Drosophila melanogaster: one gene and its partners. Changing the gene in region 1 together with any one later gene gives a genetic interaction. Each region holds a gene or a part of one and is shown in the gene's direction. Other genes may lie near its edges.

Region 1 (7,558 bases):
ATATACATATGTATATATTTATATTGTATTCCTTTAGTCCGGCGGAGCCACAGGAATGATGATGGACCACCTGCCCTCCAACGATAAGCACGTCCACGCTGACTTCTACAATGATTTTGATGATCTGTTCGATGAAGACAACTGGGCCAAGATGAAAACCGATGGGAAACAGTAGAGGCCACCACGCAATAAATGGATTGAAAGATTTGTATTCGCGACTCGTTCTTCTGTCTGTAATTTTACTTGCACAATCAGCGATCATTGGTGTATAAAAAATTGCTTCAACTATTGTTTAATCGCTTATTATATTCATTTGGTTCGTATAACTAAGGTAAATTGCCATGTGAGATAGTGCCGAGGTGGATATGAACTTTGGCTTAGCGTAAATCAACAAAATGCATAATTTTGTACAAAAAAACGAAACTATTAACTAAATTTATCGAACTGAGTTTCAGGTGGAATGAAGCAATCATAATTGAGATAAATACAAATGTACACAATAACCTAATGGATCCGTGGAAGTTGTTAACCAAGTTGTAGGCCCTCTGCAAAGCTATCCGTCCAACGGCGTGCCCAGATAGACCATCGAGACCTCGGTATTGCCGTAGACAGCGGATACTGTGGGATAGAGCTTTTTGTCCGGCAGGCCTGCAAGGTGAAAGTGCATAGAATCGTTCGTATCGCTGGTATCACCAAACTATTTCCCCTTACCCCGGAAGGCCACACCGAGGAACTCGTAGTTCTTCTCGAACGACAAGGTGTTGTCCTCGCAGTCGAGAATGACGCGTATCCGCTCGCCCACTTGGTACTTGGGAGCATTGTTCAGCAGCGGGTAACTGCCCTGCATGTCGCCGTTGTGCAGCAGGTGGTTCTCGACCAGATTCCAGCCCCAGCTCTGGTCGTCGGAGCCGAGCAGAGCCACATAGCCGTGACACTGTAGAGCCGCCTCCTTGGTAGATATGCCGATGACGGCCACAGTGCCCAGCGGTCCCTCCCATATCACCTCCCAGGTGTGACGACCGTGGCGGAATCCTATCTTGCCCCGGGCCGCGTCTGTGCTCTGCGCCACGGGATTGCTGCGGGAATGGAGGGACATACATATAACGCCGACTCAAGCAAACCGAATACCTTACCGATGCAGGGTGAATCCGTTCGGCTTAATGTACACATTCCTCGAACAGTCGTTGGGGCTCCAGGCGTGAAAATAGGCCCGCAGCTTCGTCTTGTACGTGGAGACGGAGGCCAGCAGGTCCGATTTGAGGGACTCCTTGGGCAGCTTGTTCAGGCAGTGCCAGCGCCAGACGTCGCTGTTCTCGTCGTTGAGGAAGTGGTACCAACTTTTGCACACCTGCGAGCAATGACTGAGGTCGTCCAGCTCCAGGTAGGAGAAGATTACCTCCAGCACATTGTAATTGCACAGCGCCGCCACCGGATCGACCATTGTGTGCGTGTGCGCTCCGCTGCTGGGCTCGTGTAGATAGCTGCTTGGATTTACCCGTTCCTGTTGATTGTCATTTTCCCACACCAACCAAATGGGTAAAAATAAAACTCGAAAACTTTAATATTCTGCGATTCAGGGTGACCGTTGGCGGGCTGCCAGCGAAATACCGCTCACCTGGACAAAGTGGCAACTTTGTTTACATCCGCGACCAGTGTGCGATAGCGACTGTCGCACACAGCTGCTTACAACACTGCGTAAATTGATGCGTAAATTGGCGCGCACTGTCTGCCATTTCATTCGCACCCGCACACAGCCTGCTTTGCCTTTCCCACATGAAAACGAAAAGCAGCCACTTGGTGGAAATTTTGTGACCATTTTGTTGCGCTTAGAAATTGCGGAAATTCGCGCTGCTGCCAGCCGTTCGATAGCTAAAAGTTCGCCGTATCTTTTGCCACTAATCTCGTGAAAATCCGTGCGCCGAAACACCGCGAAAAAGGCCACCGAAAAAGGGCCGCCGCTGTGAGTGTGTGTGAGCAGCAGAAAAGAAAAAAAAAATGCCCTGCCGCTGGAAGTGAAAAATGCGCTCGCCATTTTGACTTGGGCGACACTTATTTTTTGTACAAGTGCGCTCCCCATTGCAGTCGTCGTCGTCGTGGTCGTGGTCCGCATCCGGATTTGCACACGTGCCCCAGTCCGTGGGTGCAGTACGTCCGCCTATCCACCGCCGTCGCCCATTCCAGCTCCATTTGCCCCCCCCTAGCACACACGTTGCGGCGAAACGGCACGTAGCACTGCTCTTTCCTTTTGTTTTTGGCGGTCCACCTGGTGAGCGGTAAGCGACAACAACAAGATCACTTGATCTCCGGCGGCCGAAAAATGGCGCATTCGACGGGCGGTACGGTGAAGACCGATGAGGTGAACTTCTTCTTCCGGAACGAGCACGGTAAGTGGGCGGAAGCGGTGTCCTGTAATAGGAGTTTTGCTCACGATGGAGTGAGTGCACTCCCTCCCTCCGCTATAGTCCATCATACACACACACCCCCTCATACACAAGGCGACCCACACAGATACGCTACAAAGTTGCATGGGCAGCGTAAAACGCCATCTTTGCTTTTTCGGGTTTCTTTTGCCTACCGTATTCATCGTTTGATACGCTTTGCGGGGGGAGGCCAGCGAGACGAACCGAAAAGAGTGCTAGAAATTGGCAAAAAGTAATAATAAAAGACAGAGACCCCCGCGAAATAACAACTTATATCAGTAAGCCACCCAGACCCGCCCCCTTCTGCCATCTACGCCCATCGCCCAGTTGGCGCGCTTGCTCACACACACACATGCACGCACACTAGCACGCGCGCGTTTTCTCCTACTTATTTTTTTGTTTTTTCATTGGGCGGCGAACAGCTGATTACTTCGCCGCCACTGCGAATTCGCTTTGAGGATTTAGCATGAAGTGAAGTAGTGATAAATCGTTGATTTCAGCTACGTACAAAGGTATTATTGTGAGGGACATTGTAAATTCAACTTGAAACAAATGTATCTGAACAGCGTGACATTCTGCCATATCTTAGCGAGTGGGAGAGAGACGGGGCGCACCGCCAAGAGAGATCGGGGTGAGAGAAAAAAGGCCACAGCAAGAACAACACTGCCACACACACACACACGTAGTCAGCCACGAAGCTGAAGCCCAAAACAGGCGAGAGCAAATAGGTGTAAGCGCTGTACACGTGTGTAGTTGTCCGTCGCCGCGTTTATGCGGTATTTACCGTACCCCGCAGTACTGAACTGATTAACTTCATGAGTTTCATTCAGTCATGATAGCAAAGAAGAAGATATGGATAGCTTTATGACGTGCTTTTATTTGTATAAAATGTCTCTTTAATCCCCAATATGTAAAGAAATAGTAATTTTTAATCAGTGATATTGCTCTTTGTTGAATATGAAGCGCGCATAAACGCTTTATATAGACCAGTATATCAGCCTGTTCGTACCAGCGAGTTACCTGGTTTGTAGTTATCTGCTGGTTGACTGGTGCAGACGAACTATGGAACTGCTTCTCCAATTGTAGGGATTATGGTTTCACCTGCATTTTGGGACTCTGCCTAGGCATTGTAGGATAACTCCCGCCGAGTTTAAGACTCCCATCGTTACCATCTGGTGGGACAGTCCGGCATTTTCTCGCATGTGTCCGCTGCTCAAGCCCCCGTGAGTCTGACTCACTTGCAGGTGTGTGTGCGTGTGATGTGCCCGTGGGTGCGGGAGAGTTGGCAGGTATTTTTAGCGCTCGACCCTTTGCGGTTTTTGTTTTGGGCATCTTCATCTCCATTATGCGTTGTCCACCTGCTTTGTTGTTATGATTATGCAAATATTGGGCTGGCGACAGGTGAACAATTATTACATCGAATGAATACCATCTAAAACTGGAAATGTTTAGAAAAGCCGGTTGGATACGAAACCCAGGGGTGCCAACCGAGTAGTCTTAATGGGTTTCCGGTTAATTCTGCCTTGATATTATAGTTGCTTTGGAATGGAAGTGCTCATAGTGTTGGATATACCAAATTAGCAGTAAATAAAATTTACTAAAGAACGCAACTAAGAACAGTGATTTGAAATGTCACGCTTTTAAAAATACTAACCGGTATCATATTTGCTCTTACTTTTTCTTCTGCTTAGGCTTCTGCTTGATTTATTGTCTTTCCAGTTAAAAGTCGAATTGTGAGTTTTAATGGGAAACCTATAATCGCACTATATTTAATTCAAATTATATTCGAACTTGGATTAATCCGACTAATGACTGATCAACAATCTTGTCGAGTCACGAACTTTAGTATCGAACCATCTCTAATTGGTTAAGGGTCACGTGGTTGCCATCACTAATGTCCAGGCGATCTGGTTTCGGGTTGTTTATGCTTCTGCATTTGTATCCTTGTCACACCGATTGAAACACACGCACACTCACCACCAGCACGTGAGTGTGGGTATACCTTGTGTGTATGTGTGTATGCACCCCAATCTTAATGTGCCGCTCGCCTTTCGTTGTTGTATTCCGACTCCAGTGCGCTTAACTCGCTCCATTCCATTCTCTTCACTTCGCTGCGATGAATTCACCGTATATACGGCGAAAAAACGCATCGTTGATAGTACCACACATACATTCAGTTACTCGCTAACACTCTGACACCCATGTGTGTGTCTGTGGAGTACATGCAGTTTTGTTATCAACGACGGCATTTCAGTCGCGTGTTATGTGTATATCGGAAACTAAGGAACCTCCGCATCTTCCAATTTCCAATTCTGCAGGACAAATATCCAAAATGCTGAAGCCGGCCCAGAACAAGTCCGAAATGGAGGGAGGTAAGCCCGTGGCGGTGGTCTACGCCACCGGCTCATCCGCGCGCAACAGCGGAAGTGCTAGCGGCATCGGCAACGTGGGACGCATGGGCGCCTTTAGTCAGATGGTAAGTGTAGAACGCGGTTGCTCACGTTGCTTACACTTAGTACCTAACGATCCGATTTAAACGCAGGGCAGTCAAGGGCAGTTTATACGACTGCAGGACAACGGACTGTCCATTCCAAAAACAGAAGGTAAGCGTGTGATCCTCCTCTTACCACTTCAATTAATCATTGTATCCCTTATTGTAGCAGGTACCACCTACACCACCGTTTCGGCGCAAAAGACTTCGGGTGCTGGCAGTGGTCATTACGACTTGCCCTTGAAGGGAGATCGCTATGTGAAGTTTACACCAAATCCCATAAAAATGAAATCAAAACTGTAAGTAGTAACCAACCGAGCAGGATCGAGGAGGATACTATAGCTTTGTTCCTTCCCAAACAGCCATGCCATTCAGAGCAACTCGTTGCACTCCATGTCGGCCTCCTCATCGTCCGTTCAAAGGAAACGCAAGCCGGACAAGGCAGGCAAAGGTTTGCGCCATTTCTCGATGAAGGTATGCGAAAAGGTGGAGGAGAAGGGCAAGACCACCTACAATGAGGTGGCCGACGACCTGGTCAGCGAGGAGATGAAGAACAATGCGTACGACAACAACTGTGATCAAAAGAATATCCGACGTCGTGTCTACGATGCGCTCAACGTACTGATGGCAATCAATGTTATTTCCAAGGACAAGAAGGAGATTCGCTGGATAGGACTGCCCGCAAATTCGACAGAGGTGGGACTTGTGTTCACCAAAGGCACCAAACTCCATGCTAATGTGATTATTTTGTCCCCTTTTCATAGACATTTCTGGCCCTGGAAGAGGAAAACTGTCAGCGCCGCGAGCGAATAAAACAGAAAAACGAAATGTTGCGCGAAATGATCATGCAGCATGTGGCGTTCAAGGGATTGGTCGAGCGGAACAAGCGAAACGAGAGCCAAGGCGTGGTGCCTTCCCCGAATGCCTCGATCCAGCTACCGTTCATCATCGTGAACACGCACAAGTCCACGAAAATCAACTGCAGTGTGACCAACGACAAGTGAGCGCTCACACTCAGTCGGAGTATGGCTTGTATTCTATTTCCCATATATCGTTTCAGGTCCGAATACATATTCAAGTTCGACAAAACCTTCGAAATGCACGATGACATTGAGGTGCTCAAGCGTATGGGATTCCTATTGGGTGAGTGTGTTTAATATTGGGCATTCGGGATAAGAAATTCATTGCATATGCTATTACCTGCAGGACTGGATAAGGGCGAATGCACGCCGGAGAACATTGAACGAGTCAAGTCGTGGGTGCCTCCAAACCTTGCCAAATACGTAGAAGGTATGACCATATATTGTCTTCCAATTCACTGTTATTAAACTTTATATTTGGCCCAGCCTACGGCACCGGCAAGACTGGCGAAAATATGTACGAATCGGATGACGAGGACAATGAGTTCAACGGGTACCTGGAGTCGGCCAATGAGTCCCAGGGCTTTGCACAACACTCGGCACAACACACCACCGATGGCGAGTTCAAGCTGGAGATGGATGATGACGAGCTGGACGACGACATTGATTGAGCTGATGGTGCCGCCGTCATTGTGCCAGCCATGGCCGATGCGGACACGGATGCGGATGGAGGAGCAGATGCTGATGCGGAGGACACGTTTAGTTTTACGTTTATCAACGCTTTGTTAGGTTTGCCACGGCCCCCTGGTTAGTCAGGAGCCGCACTCCACTCCAATCCACTCCACACCCAATCCGACCCACCCACACAATTGGTTTTGTTTACTTCTCAATGAGACTCTTAAATTATATATATACAATCTCGCAGCGACGAGAAAGATTCGGTAGTTCATGTATGTAAGTGTAGTTTGCATACACAGTTTGTAATTGTATCATTGAAGATTTATGTTTAAGCTGAAACGTTTTTAAAATAATTTGTCTAGTTAAGGAGAACGCGTTTTTAGTTCAAACCACAATTCACATAAGGCAATACCGCGAAACCACATGCCCAGACTAATGTTCACTCTCTAATTAGTTGTTATCAGTCTCCCTTTTCCCCCCAATGGCCTTTTCATGTTTGGGTAGGCTTAAGCAAAAGCGATAATGTTATGGGTAATTGTCTCTTAATAATATAATATACCAAAACTGTACACAACCGCAGTGAAATGCAATTATTTTTAGAATGCCACGAGCAGTTTGAACTGCAGACAAGAGCGAACATATGAAATATGTTTAATTTGCTAACACCCTTTGACAAAGCGATTCTTTTAGATTCTCAAAACCCAAATTTTAAGTTGACAAGGGAGTGCAGATAGTTGCGAAATAATCAACCTACCTAATTAGTAATAACAATTAAAACACGATATACATTTTCAGAATTTGTATTTATATTATTGAACCCTCTTCAAGTGAATACAACAGCATGCAAATACAAATTAGTAGTCAAGTATAAGGCGTTAACAATTAAGTGTCGAGCATGTAGTTGTGTAATGAAACGAAATAATTGCATGGATGGAAAGGAAATTGCAAACAAGTGAGACGAAATCGAACCGAGTGACAAGTTAATAAAGAAGTAATTTGCATATTGTAAAATATGATAAACAGAGAATTTAATCTTTTCCTCCCTTCTGCTTGCACCCAACCCAAGCAATAAGTCCAATAATCCATGACATCGCATATGGTTTATGTTT
Region 2 (3,184 bases), 9.4 Mb from region 1:
GTGGTCAGTTGCTGGTGATAGTTGCGCATCTGGTTGCTGCGGCGTGGCTGCGCCAGGTACTCGAACATGCTCTGCAGGTGCTGGGACAGCATCTTGCTCAAGTCGCTGGGCATGGGATCCGTCCAGAAGAAGTCGTGATTCAGAGCTGTGTCCGCATCGATGCGTTTCTTGGGATCAAGGGTCAGCAATTTGTCCAATAGATCACAGCCGGTTTGATCCTTGACATACGGACGCAGGCGCTCCTTGACTCGACGCTTCTGGTTCTTTGGCAGCTCGATGGATTTGTACAGCTCCAGCTCCTCCACTCCCGGCCACACGTCCGGCGTAAAGGAGCCGCATAGCTGCGAGATAAAGGTTAGCTGCTGCTGCTCCGTATTGCCTTGCATGATGGGCGAGCGTGTCCACATCTCGGCCATTATGCAGCCGGCTCCCCACATGTCCACGGGTGGACCATAGTTGCGGTCACCAAGTAGCAGCTCAGGCGGCCGGTACCACAAGGTTACTACGCGATTGGTATAGCGATTCTTACTCTCGTTCTTTGGAATGCTAAAAGCACGGGCCAAGCCAAAGTCAGCCAGCTTTAAGATGCCATGCTTGGTAATCAGCACGTTGGCAGCTTTCATGTCTCGGTGCAGGATCTAGTAATGCAAATGAAAACAGATACATACAATGTAAAACCAAAACTTTGCTTAATGACATGACTCACCTTGTTGCTGTGGATGTAATACAAACCGTTTAAAAGCTGCTGCATAACCTTCTTAATCTCGCCCAGACTGAACTTGACGTTCATGTTGGACAGAAGACCTGCCAAATCGTGTTCGCAGAAATCAAAGACCAAATAGAAGGTGGATCTGTAACCATTCGTGGCGGTGGCCTTGGTGCGGCAGATCTCGATCAGATTCACCACGTTCTCGTGCTTTAGCAGCTGCAGGATGCGGATCTCTCGCAGAGCCGTGATGGGAAACTAGGGGAGCACATATATAAATAAGGAATTCGTCTCTTAAGATGTTGCTTTTCACGCACGCCCTCCTTTTCGTTGTCCATCAGCACCTTCTTCATGGCCACAAACTTCTTGTTGCCCTTTTTCTCGCGAGCCTTAAAAACCTCTCTGTAATCAAAGGGGTCGTATGTTTTAGTTTAAAGTTAGTTTTCACCAATTTGGAGACTTACCCGAAGGTGCCTTGGCCAATTTTCGCCACCTTTTCGTATTTGTTGCTCTCGTCGCAGTAGGGAAAGTCGTAGTCCTCGATGTACTTTTGTTTCTCCATCAGGGACATCGTGCGCGATGAGCTGGAGCCCACGTTGGAGGGCGTCGACCCCGAAGGCTGCTGGAGCATGTGGGACATGTGCGCCATGGTTAAATTTGCCTCTATTTGTACAATTTTCACAATCACAGTTTCGCGAGAAGCCGACAGTCGAAAAGAAAGAAATCGGCAACAATTGGTGTTTCTACAGCTGTTGACTAAAGAAATACCGGTGTGCACACACTGTCAAGGCCTATCGATAAGAAATCGATGGGTCAAACAGCTGGGTAGTAATAACTTTTCGATTGTTGGTATACACTGGCCAAGTGATATAACCTAGCCAAAATTTGTCCAACAAATAAAAGCCGAATTAATGAATAAACTGTTGAATATAGCCCAGGCAGGGCATCGGCAGTTTGTCCGGGAATATGCATTCAAGTCGGACCTGAAAATCAAATGGATGCGCCCCGAGAAGATCGCGTGCTATAAGCCCGAAAAGAGCGGCGATTTAGCCAAGCTGCCTCCTCTGAAAGCCGACGAACTGCTGCCGGAATACAGGGACTGCAAGGAGTTGGATAAGTATGTTGCAGTATTCTCTCAATATAATAGTTTATTTACATCATCTCACCATTTTGTAGAGCCGACGAGTCAGTTAAATCCTTGTTCAAACTGAGCAACAACGCTAGTTACCTGACCACAAAATTCTATCGCGATGAGATGGTCAAGGAGGTGCAAAGACATGCCCAGGATTTCGGCTCAATGGAGGCCAAATGTATGTATCTTTGCAAAGTGCACATATAGCAGTTCCCCCCAAATTTGCCCTTCTTTTAGTGGCAAAAATGACTGCAGTTATCCGCCGCTACCAGGAGCACATGGACAAGCATCCGCGCGACAAGATGATCAAGGTGCGTCTCAAGGAGCTCATCGACAAACGCAAGAAGTTCCTCAAGTACTTGAGACGTTGGGATTATCCCCGCTTCGAGTGGATTCTCGAGAAACTCGACCTGGTGTACAAGCCACCGCCCACACATTTCCACTGGATCACCCGCAAGGAATCCCTCCAAAAGTTGACCGACATATACTGCGAAAACCTAAAGGAAGAGCGGCTAGAGGCTTACCATAAGCAGCTGCAGGCCCAGCAAATACCCTTCCTTGAGGAGGCCATCAAGAAGATGCAGTTCGTGCGGCAGGAACAGATTTCCTGCGATGTCCCCGTGACCGTGACAGAAGAGAAGATCGCCGACTCAAAAAGGCAGCTGGAAATGCTGAAGGAGCTGCAGCAGGCGGAGGCAGCCGCCAGCAGCAAGAAACAAAACGAGGATGGCTTCAATTAGGCCCGATTCTTTAATGTTACGGTGTCTTACAATAAATGTAAATGCTGGTTTTCTTAAATTATATGTTTTATTATACTTTAAGAGTTAGGCTGGACATCGTACCCTATGTCATGATCATCTGAGCGCATACTGGCAAATAAATAAGAAGGCAAGCATGATTGCCTTAGAAAAATGTGTAAAAACAGACGCAATTAAAGAGAAGTTCCTAAAGGGTACGGTTGCAGCTAACGTCTGCCCGACGAGGAGGTTTTCCGCCTGCCGCCGCTGCTGGAGCTACTCGAGCTGCTCGACGAAGAGTCGCTGGAGCTGGACGAACTGGACGACGACGAGGAGGACACGGAAGAGGTAGAGTCGCGTGAGGTACGCTTGCGCTCCTTGTCGCCATTGCCAGTGCCCTCTTTGCTCTTGACATCCGTGGAAGTGACTTCTTCGTCGCCCCAGAGATCGTACTTTGATAGATCCTCGTCGTCTCCCTCGTCGTCGTCCTCATCTTCTTCCTCATCATTCCGCTGCTCATCTCGGCTAGACCTTCTGGGCCTCTTTGAGTCCTCTCTATGCTCGCCGTGCTTTCGCTTCTTGCGACGACCGAACTCATCGTACTCGCTA
Region 3 (3,477 bases), on another chromosome or scaffold:
TATAGGGCGGGGGCTGTATTTGTAGGTCTGGATGTAGGTGACTTAAAGCAAACACACAGATATTTCGATCTCTGTTTCAAAGATCAAGTGGGAAGTGATTTATTGAACTGATTATTCAATATGTAAGTCTTAACTAGATAAGATACAAATATTAGAAGCTATTATTTAGTCAAAACTATGTTACATTGGCATATATCTATAACAATAATTTGCTATCAAGCAAATGGTTCAAAATACAGACTGAACCTTATGGATAATAAAATATAAAATCCTAATCCTGCCTTAAATTTTATGTCCTGCTAACGATCCATATCACGTAAGCTACCACAGGGAGATGATTTAAGTCAATCCTATAATAGAACCTTTTACTATATGTGGGAGACCAGTAGCCACACAGATCGATGAGCATTTCGCAACTTCATCATCGCAGCGACTTGGACTTAATTTCGCGGGGGAAGTTCAGAGCTCCCCCGTGGCTATTGGCAAGGAGATCCCAGCATCCCAGCTTCCCAGCAGCCAAGCATCCAACCATCAAGACAGCCGGCTAGTGAAAGAATTTCCGGACTCTATGTCAAAGGTTGAATCTTATTTGTGCAGCAGCACGCGTCGCCAGGGGAATGGAAATGATAGGACAGTGGAGGTGGAGGATGTAACGACCCAGACGAGGCGCCACCACCCACGGTGGTGCAGGCGGCAATCATTCCTGACAGCATGCGGCCACGTAAATGGCGTTGAATTACAGCCCGACAATCGAAGTGTTGAAGTCCCGAACTGAAAAGTTCACTCCTGCCCGTCCGGCAGCGGCAGCAGCAGCAGCCTGTGCATCATTCATAAGCCGGCCCAGGCCACAGATTGTCTGGAAGCGAGTCGAGTGCGCACGCACGCAACGAGCCGATGATGATGAGCTCAGGACTCCCAAACAGGCAACTTTATGACTGTGGGCCATGGGTTGGCATTGGGTTGTGGTGTCGTCACGTGCCGGTAGCCGTCTGCGACTGACTCTGACTCCGGATGTGGATGCGGATGAGGATGCGGATGAGGATGCTCCGTGCCGCCCTCCTTGGAGCTCCCTAATCCACGTTGTATAATTCATTTGGCGTTGCCGACCCGTTCGCCGTGCGGAACTATTTATTCAATAATTCGACGTAAAAGCTTGACACAGCAATCCGGGGTTGTGAGCCGTCACAAAGCAACTGGGTCTCTTCCAATCACGCAGTTGTAGATACCTTAATGCCCACACCCACTGTTTAGTGTTTTAAGCTCTATCACAAATAGATTTTAAATAAAACACATGCTATAGTTCAACACTTTGGGTGCTTGGCCAACATTTAAAGGTTCAAAGAGCTAAAGCATAGAATCATATTAAGATTGTTGGCATTGCATATGTTTCGCATCAATAAACGCCGTGCCATCTAATTTTAGCTTAGATTGTTGCTCGACGCATTATCACGATTTAAAAAAATTTAAATTCACGCACGCATACAATCTTCAAGAAGGTTGGCAACTACAAATATTCGAAGTCGAAAACGGCGTTACCAATCGTCATAACTTTGGAGGTTGTACTGGCTAAAAGATAGTTTCGGTGCGTGTCCACGCTAATTGTGGATTGTGTACACGCTAATTGGTATTTTAACCCTATTTGTATTAATTGGTGGTATTTTCTCGCATCCCCCCGTCGGTCACACCAACACAAACGTGGTACCCATTTCCGCCTGTTCTTCCTCTTTCTTTTGCCATTGTCAGCCGACGAAGGTGGGTGTTTTAATTTTTCATCCGGCTCCACAGAATCACTCGACTAACTAATTTCTATCGCCTGCAGTGCTTTAACCCAAACTATCAACATGGTGGCCGTTAAGAAACAAAAGAAGGCTCTGGAGAGCACCAACGCCCGTCTGGCGCTGGTGATGAAGTCCGGCAAATACTGCCTGGGCTACAAGCAGACCTTGAAGACCCTGCGCCAGGGCAAGGCCAAACTGGTGCTCATCGCCAGCAACACGCCCGCCCTGAGGTGAGATGCCCATGCGTCTGCTGCTAAGCAGTAGGTTTCCACTGTGCCCAAGTGACCACGTTTTTGATGGAACCATATGGAGTCTGCCCTTAAAGCTGACTGAGAAGTATGATTCCGAGTAGTGGAGCAGTGCAATCAATCAATCTCAAGCTTCGGGACTGGTTCGCTTTAGTCTACGGCGCTTCCAAATGGTTCCTCCAACAACGGGCATGCACATCACTTGGGGTAAGAAGCCGGCATATAAACACCTAGCTGTAGTCTACTGCCCATAATGATGATCCTATTGATTCCGAATGCCTTGACGAATCCTTTTTATACTAGAGACTCTTTCTGACGCTCGAACCAATGGCTCATCTGTTCCAAGCGCCTTTATATCGGTACTAACATGTGCTCTTCACATTGCAGGAAGTCCGAGATCGAGTACTACGCTATGCTGGCCAAGACTGAAGTCCAGCACTACAGCGGCACCAACATCGAGCTGGGCACCGCCTGTGGTAAATACTTCCGCGTGTGCACCCTGTCCATCACCGATCCTGGAGATTCGGACATCATCCGCTCGCTGGAGACGGCCTAAACATTTATTTTTAATCGAACAAGACGACACAATAAAGTTTTGTATGAGCAGAGATAAAGTTTAAAATAAAAACACTATTGTTTTGGTAAATTCAGTGAAAGCAATGTTGGGATTATCATCAAAAGATTTGGCACGTGATTCTTGTTGTTTAAGTAGCATTTTATTTAAAAGAAAACATTGTCATTTTGCTTTACTCCCTTAAGTACAAACGTTTTGTATTCTATAAAACTGAATCTATGACCACGAAATTCCCTTTCCATTACAATTGGGCCCAATATACATTACGTAGACAAACACATTAATATGATAAAAATGTTAGCTTCAAATATGGTTTTGTTTGGTCTAAAATAGAAGGAAAAGTTAGTTTATTAATGAAATTTTCGACTTTAGTACTTACATTCTCTGCAACTTTCAGTAGATGATCAAAGCTGGCCTTTCCCGTCTGCATAACCATTCCATGGAACACTTTAGCCTTTGACGCGGTCAACAGCTCATATGGAGAACCGAACTCGACGACGTGACCAGCATCCATCACCAAAACTTTGTCGGAGTCCATAATGGTGTTTAGACGATGAGCTATCGTGAGTACTGTGCAGTCCTTGAATTTGTTTCGAATGGTGGCCTGAATCAGGGCGTCCGTCTGAGGATCCACATTTGCCGTTGCCTCGTCCATAACTAGGATTCTATTCTCGCGCAGAATGGCCCTTGCCAAGCAGACTAACTGGCGTTGGCCTACGCTAAAGTTGGTCCCGCCCTCAGATATGATGCTCTGCAGACCCGAAGGCAACTCCGAAATTTCCTCCTTGAGGTGGACGTCCTCGAGGGCCTTCCAAAGCTTATCATCGGGATATTGCTCGAAGGGATCCAAGTTGTATCGCATTGTGCCGGAGAACAG

What was found. Genes that interact genetically often act in the same process or in processes that back each other up.
Region 2: of Dp (region 1) and bonsai, changing one suppresses a phenotype caused by changing the other (phenotypic suppression), as found in Drosophila melanogaster (one study listed by BioGRID).
Region 3: of Dp (region 1) and RpL30, changing one suppresses a phenotype caused by changing the other (phenotypic suppression), as found in Drosophila melanogaster (one study listed by BioGRID).

Annotation. Positions count from the first base shown.
Region 1 is NT_033778.4:13,220,729-13,228,286, forward strand, and holds Dp (DP transcription factor), read left to right. Parts: upstream 1-1,704; 5' UTR 1,705-2,317; coding exon 2,318-2,384; intron 2,385-2,862; exon of another isoform or gene 2,863-2,932; intron 2,933-3,446; exon of another isoform or gene 3,447-3,734; intron 3,735-4,593; exon of another isoform or gene 4,594-4,683; coding exon of another isoform or gene 4,684-4,738; coding exon 4,739-4,896; intron 4,897-4,962; coding exon 4,963-5,023; intron 5,024-5,080; coding exon 5,081-5,210; intron 5,211-5,273; coding exon 5,274-5,607; intron 5,608-5,675; coding exon 5,676-5,911; intron 5,912-5,971; coding exon 5,972-6,054; intron 6,055-6,117; coding exon 6,118-6,201; intron 6,202-6,257; coding exon 6,258-6,442; 3' UTR 6,443-7,017; downstream 7,018-7,558. Other genes in the region: CG17059 (uncharacterized protein), read left to right, coding at 38-175; Fsn (F-box synaptic protein), read right to left, coding at 554-648, 712-1,076, 1,134-1,441. UniProt on the Drosophila melanogaster protein: Component of the DREAM complex, a multiprotein complex that can both act as a transcription activator or repressor depending on the context. In follicle cells, the complex plays a central role in the site-specific DNA replication at the chorion loci.
Region 2 is NT_033778.4:22,636,236-22,639,419, forward strand, and holds bonsai (bonsai), read left to right. Parts: upstream 1-1,534; 5' UTR 1,535-1,617; coding exon 1,618-1,823; intron 1,824-1,882; coding exon 1,883-2,016; intron 2,017-2,075; coding exon 2,076-2,578; 3' UTR 2,579-2,633; downstream 2,634-3,184. Other genes in the region: Cdk9 (Cyclin-dependent kinase 9), read right to left, coding at 1-638, 707-964, 1,024-1,108, 1,171-1,355; CG3732 (uncharacterized protein), read right to left, coding at 2,803-3,184. UniProt on the Drosophila melanogaster protein: Essential for gut mitochondrial activity. Might be involved in tissue specific growth factor production.
Region 3 is NT_033779.5:19,007,480-19,010,956, reverse strand, and holds RpL30 (ribosomal protein L30), read left to right. Parts: upstream 1-1,719; 5' UTR 1,720-1,752; intron 1,753-1,819; 5' UTR 1,820-1,841; coding exon 1,842-2,008; intron 2,009-2,273; exon of another isoform or gene 2,274-2,346; intron 2,347-2,413; coding exon 2,414-2,582; 3' UTR 2,583-2,903; coding exon of another isoform or gene 2,904-2,924; 3' UTR 2,925-2,926; downstream 2,927-3,477. Other genes in the region: CG31793 (uncharacterized protein), read right to left, coding at 2,904-2,924, 2,980-3,477.